Drosophila melanogaster: one gene and its partner. The protein of the gene in region 1 interacts with the protein of each later gene in a pairwise test. Each region holds a gene or a part of one and is shown on either strand. Other genes may lie near its edges.

What was found.
Region 2: the proteins of CG5676 (region 1) and CG30355 interact in a two-hybrid assay, tested with the Drosophila melanogaster proteins (one large-scale study listed by BioGRID).

What each region holds. Positions count from the first base shown.
Region 1 is NT_033779.5:10,254,091-10,257,587, reverse strand, and holds CG5676 (uncharacterized protein), read left to right. Parts: upstream 1-1,696; 5' UTR 1,697-1,772; coding exon 1,773-1,867; intron 1,868-2,317; coding exon 2,318-2,510; intron 2,511-2,573; coding exon 2,574-2,756; 3' UTR 2,757-2,978; downstream 2,979-3,497. Other genes in the region: Pten (phosphatase and tensin homolog), read left to right, coding at 1-193, 1,082-1,101; Ror, read right to left, coding at 2,991-3,203, 3,263-3,395, 3,473-3,497.
Region 2 is NT_033778.4:8,678,632-8,681,819, reverse strand, and holds CG30355 (uncharacterized protein), read left to right. Parts: upstream 1-1,866; 5' UTR 1,867-1,991; coding exon 1,992-2,326; intron 2,327-2,383; coding exon 2,384-2,609; 3' UTR 2,610-2,674; downstream 2,675-3,188. Other genes in the region: Acsl (Acyl-CoA synthetase long-chain), read right to left, coding at 215-369, 435-710, 772-1,035, 1,099-1,271, 1,334-1,808, 2,686-2,892, 2,952-3,188.

The DNA.
Region 1 (3,497 bases):
CATATATTTAATCAACCGTCCATTAAGAAAACTGATTTAATCAAATGGCAGAATAGTGAAGTTCATATCACCTCTGACACTCGAAGTATAAACGAAAATAAGAACATCAATTACAATTCATACATCACATGTAAACAATCCTCTCCAAAATTCAACTGTGGTACCGAAGATGGCGAGGAAGATTGGGAATCCGGTGAGTTTGCTGCACACTATACTCTCAATGACCAGATCTCACTAAAAATCTATCCGTTTTAATCGAGTAATACCGAACAATTGTTCTAATTTCACATTTATTTAATACTAAGAGTTTCGATTCAATTGATTTCTGGACCATTATCGGTTTGATTTTGTAATTAATTGTATTGTATGAGTATTCAAATTAAGATTTGTTAAAAGAGATAGCCTTTATCGACATATGCTATCGTCCACACATTTATATTCTTATTGACTTATTGAATTCGCCAGAATAATCACCCGAGACGATTTAAAAGACTTCTGGCTGAACGATCTCTTAATTTTGATGTATAAAACGAAGCCACCAGAACTGGATTTATATGTCCCCAAGACTTTTACGAGTATACTAGCAGAGACAGGCTTACACAGATCCACTTCCTTTCACGGGGAAACGATCGATTACAGCTGCGCTCTGCACATCTGTTTAGAATTTAATGTACATAGGTGAGTGAGTGGGAGCCCATGCCTGCGGCTCGAATGGTCAACTAACCGGCAATCCTTAATCAGTATCCGCATCGATTTTCATCACACATCCCTCACCGCTTCATAAGTATGTGACTCTGGGCACTGCCATTGTCCTTCTACTCAATTCATTTAACAAAACTAGCACCGAACTGTCGAACTTCGACTAATTCGACTATTTCACTGTTGCTGTTGAAAACTAAATATCCTGAAGCAGAATGTGTCTTTTGTGTGTTTCATCATCATCAAAAGTCTTCTGCTTTTAATTCATTCATGCTATTTTGATTTTTATCGTATTCTCGTTGAGTTTTAGTTAATAAATTCATTAAGCTTGTTTGAGCAAAAAAATCTAAACTAATAAATGAATATTTTTCTTTATTTCCAGGTGAATCAACATACCTGTAATCAATGCTTATTACGGACTTATAATTCTTGGTGATTTAGCAAAGTAATTAAAATTGCTAAGTAATTGGCTAATCTATTCGAATTTGTAAATATACTGTATGATATTTATTTAAGTAGTTTTAACAATTATTTTAAATAAACTCATGTACATTTTGTATTGTAGATTTCATTCGAACTTTGGGTTTTTGTCTAAAGTAAGGGGGGAGAAATAATTGACGTTTAGAAAAAAATACTTAAATTTATAGTTTTGATCTCGAAACTAGTTTTCGACACGAAAAGTGCAGCGATTAAATGGATATCTCATATTTTATTGGAATTTAACTAATAGTTTCAAATGAGGCAATAGCTAAGATAAATAAATAATAAGAGGTTCTTGAAATTTGCCAATTGTTGTGCAAAGCATACAGGATTCACAAAGGTAATTATCAGATTAATAATAAATATTCAAAGTATGATTATTCCAGTTTCTACGTTAAGTGCTACCAGTTATTTTTCTTACTCTTTTTCCCATAATTCCCCTAACATATGTTCCACTTCCGAGTTCCAATAAACCCAACACAAAAATGTTGTCCAAATTGACGCTATCTTGACGGGCATATATTATTGTGTTAAATTGACGTAAACTGGGCGGTCAGAATTTCGCATCTTAACGTCGACATCTAATTTTAAAAATGACTAATTATTCGGAAATTTTTAAGAAAGTTTTTAACGATATTGGCCAACGTTCAGCATATTCGCAGATGCTTATTGGCGTTTCATCAGGATGGTATGTGGTTATATCATTGCGGCGCATCACTTAAATTTTTAGCAATGCCGATTGTCTTTGGAATTTGAAGTAAATTGATTTTTTGCATACTTTCGGTAATAGCTGGTAGATAACTGCAGAATACGTTTTTAATTAAAATATACAACTGAATGCTTAGCCGCTCCATCTATTGCAAATATGTACTTCTAAATACGTGTATAAATGAATGTTGTTTGTTTGCGGGATACAGAAATATAGGACCTCCCTAAAAAGGAAAAGAACTAAATAGTGTAATAAAATGAGTTATTAATCAGATAAAACTGATATAATTTGCACAAGATAAGCTAGATAACTCGGCAATTTACTATACATGTATATGCGCCAAATGATGAGTTGCAAATTTAAGGAAATCCATAGAATTTGCTGGAATTTGTGTATCTTATCTTACTAAAAATATAACAATTTTTTCAGGGTCACAGGATATACGACAATGAAAATAGGCAAATTTGCTGCCTTTGCAGTTGGCGGCAGCATAATCTTGCTCGAAATCGCCCACCAAGAAGGACTTATAAAAATAAATTGGTCTAAGTTGGATAAGAGCGTGGATAAGCTCGCCGATAAAGTGGAAGCCTCGCTGGGTCGTGAGAAGAACTGGAAGGATAAGGTATAATTCATTTAAACCGTTTATCTATATGCTTACTATATTTATGCTGAACTCAATTTGCAGACCGAAAGATATGTCGACAATCAATTAGACAGAGCTGAAAGCCTCCTAACCCGAAACGGCAAGAAAGTGGCGAAATGGTACACCAAACTGATTGGCGATGAAGAGGGTCCAAAAGTCAACGATCTGCACATATTTTTGGCATCATTTTTCGGTGGCGTTGCCCTGGGCATTGCTACTGGATAAAAGAATTTTCCGATTGGCACAACAAAACATTTAAATACCATATGGTTATTACGAACAAATCTCACTTAATAAAGTTACAAAAAAGGTAATTTAATCGAAAATCAATTGGTTCTTTCCCAAAACATCTCAACACTCTTCGGGTTTTCGATATCATTCGTTTTATTAAATTCTTAAACCTACTTATTTTACAGTCCATTTCGTTGAAAATACATATGTATGTGTAAAATCTTATGTTTACATTTCTGGATTACTGGCCTTAAAGTGGCCCTCGTGCCAAGTTTTGAGACGGTTCGAAATATCTGTGAATGTTGGACGTTTTACTGACTGCTCATGCCAGCACTCGATCATTAGCGAGTAGACAGCAGTGGGACAGTTTTCCGGAGCGGAGAGCAGTTGCCGTGAACGGATGAGATTGATTACTTCCTGATTGCTAAAACCGTAGTATGGCTAAAGGGATAGCATTGGAATTAGATATTGCGCATTTAAATCAAGTTTAAGATACTTGCCTGCATTCCATAGCTGTATATTTCCCAAAGAACGACTCCAAAGGACCAAACATCGCTCTCGGTCGTAAACTTTCCATACAATATCGATTCCGAGGGCATCCACCTTACAGGCAATAGCGACTTTGACTGAACTCTGCAATAAAAACCAGCAAAAATGTTTGCTCTTTGTAGCTGCAATCTTGATATATATATGTATATCCAAAGTCTTACCGATAATAATCTGAGCTGTAAATGT
Region 2 (3,188 bases), on another chromosome or scaffold:
GCGCAATGTGGCTAATCGGTTCCTGCATGTACTGCTCGGCATTTAGATCTTTTAGGACTTAAGCTAGTTTGGTTTTGGATTTCGTATGCATGCTTATGCTGTGTGGGGTGCTACTAAAAACAATTAGTACACACTAGCTTCATTGCTGCTGCTTTAATGTTTGCGTGTTGTTGTCGTTGCTGCATCTGGTACCTCTGGCTTAGTACATTGACTTTCATGAGGCGTACATGCGGTTAATATCATGCTGATATCTGTCCTGGATATCCTTGCGCTTCAGCTTGAAGGCGGCGGTTACCAGCCCCATGTCCGGAGACCAGACCTCCTTACAAAGTGTGATGGCGGCGGGAACCTCATATTTTTGCAATTTACCTTTAAGATTAAACAATTTGCCATTAAAAACTTTGAAAAATACTCAAATCTGCATCGTAGCTTACATTTCCGCGCATGCTCAGCAATTTCCTTGAGAATAGCCTTCTCTATGATCGGTGATGAGCACAGCTCCTCAAAGGACTTATCACCCAGGCCATGTTTCTGTGCCAGCTCCTCCAAATGGTTTTGGTTGGGAACGACCAGCGCCACTGTGTACTGCTTTGTCGGATCTCCGTATACGCAAATGTTCTCGATGATTCCGCAAGTCTTAAGCTCAGATTCAACTTTGCCAAGGGAAACATACTCGCCGGCCTGCAGCTTAACCAGATCCTTCTTACGATCTGCAAAAAGCGTATTATAATAAAAAAAATGAAAGAAAAAGCACTGTGCTAAATAACTTACCAATAATCTTAAGTACGCCATCAGCTTGTATTTCGCCAATGTCGCCGGTTTTAAACCATCTCTGTCCATCCTCCTCAAAGAAATCCTCGTTGGTCTTGCCGGGCAACTTGTAGTATCCCTGGGAGACACACTCGCCACCAATGAGAACCTCACCCTGGGGATAAGGTTTATTTGTGACGCGGTAGTTGCCTTCTTCCCAGTTGACTAGACGGATGTCGCAGACAGTTAATGGTCCTCCAGTGCGTCCATAGGTCATATCACGGTCTTGTATTGGGTATAAAGTTATTTACTTGTTTTCAAAAGAAAGGTCGATCTGCGATCACTTACAGTCCATGACAGTGGCTCCAGACGTAGTTTCCGTAAGGCCATAGCCCTGAATCAGCTCCAAGCACAAGCAGGTCTTGATCTGCTCATGTGTATCTGCTGACAGAGGCGCTCCGCCAGACATGATAATGCGCACTTTGCCACCCATTAGCTTTGCCACCTTCTTGAACACCAGTCTGCAAGAAAAATAATAGTTTTAGTTAGCAACTCATGATATTTATGAGCACACCGTTCTTACTTATCAATCAGCGGCGTCTTGTACCCCCTCTGCACCCACTTGACTTTGTACTGGTAAAGGAATTTGAAGAGTGATTTCTTGAACGCCGAGCCAGAGTTAACCTTGTCGTTAATACCCTTGGAAATGCGATCCAATATCAGCGGCACCGAAGTCATGCAGGTGGGCTTCAGGACGGTGGCATCGCCCTTGCACCCGCGTTTGATCTTGCTGCTAGTGTCGATCAGAGTCAAGGGGGTCGAGTAGCCAATTGGAACGCCAGTCATGAGACACACACTTTCCGCAACCAATTCAAAAACGTGAGCCAGGGGCAGGAATCCGATCAGTACATCATCCGGATAGATAGGCACCATATCAACAAATCCCTTCATTGTCGCAATGCAGTTCTTGTGCGAGAGGAGGACACCCTTAGGTGTGCCAGTGGATCCGGAAGTGTACATGATAATGGCAATGTCATCTCCCTTGGGTGGAACGTGCTCTGTGGGATACAAAATAAAGTCAATTAGTACTAGTTTAATATTTAACAAATTCCTTGCGCATAGCACGCTATACATATGCTGTCAACATTTCAGTGCTGAATTAAAAGCGCATACTTTCGGTAAACAGAAAGAACTCTTTCCAAATTGTGTAGGGTGATTTTTTAGTTCAGACACCATTCGAAATGGCTGAAGTCCTAGAGGAATTCATCACCCTAACGCCCTTGACTTGTGTGCAACAATGCAATGCTTTACTAGGCTCAACATCAGGAAAGCCGAGAAGCTGCTCCGTATTTTTTACACTATTTGGCGTATACTGCGGCGTTCTCATCTTTCGGGCGTATCGCACATATTCCTCTAAGCAAGAAAGAGACGAGGAAAAGATAACCGAAGGAGTTACCCTTGAGGCTAAGGAGGAAGATTTGATCATAGGACCTGGTTCCAGTCTTGTGAACGAATATGTAGAACAAACGAAGCCGATTCTGTTGCAACCCGTCGGTTTTTCCAGTACTGACATGAGGTGAGAGTTGTAGATTAAAACACTGGATGACCCATCAACACATTCTGTCTCGATTAGATGGCGCTATTGCAACCACTTGCCGGAAGCAGAATTAGCACAAGGCTCTGATAGTGAAAACAGATCAACCGAAAGAGATGACATTGATAACCTCGAAAGGATGAGCAATGTTGTGGATGATAATGATGCGCAGAAGCCGGTTGCATCCACATCGATGGCAACGGCTCGGGCGCCTGAGGATAACGCCGATGGTGAACACGTCGAGCCCACACCATTTTCGGTGTGAAACACGATGCATTTTAGCAAATTTATCGTGTAATTGACATAAATAAATCATCTTTTAAGACCCTTTCAAAACGTACCAAATTTACTGTCCTGTCCTGTCTTGACAACTTGGTTAAACGGCAAGATCTTGACGCCCTCCTTGAAGCCAGTGGTTTCTGTCTTTTGCAGCTGATCCTCAATATAGATAATAGTCTTCACCAATGGGCATTTGTCGAGCAGCGTCTTAAACTTGGGCAGCAGATCATGGGAGGTGATAACCGTGGTGACTTCCGTTTCGGTGATGCCTGGCAACAGAGCAAAATATTATTTAAAAACCATACACATGGTAAGCCAATTTACTCACAATGAGCAACTCCATCATCGCCCAGCGTAGCATAGACAGTGACAATGGGCATAGCCTGCTTAAAGCATCCGTGGGCAGCTATCATCCATTCGGCTCGCGTTTCGGCAAAGATGACAATGTTCTCGCGTGGTTTCTGGCCAAGTTCTCGCAGACCGCGCCCGAAATTAGCCGCCGTGCGCTCCGCCTCGGTGAACGTCTTCCACTTGTAGTCACCGAGGTTGTACTTCTTGAAGACTC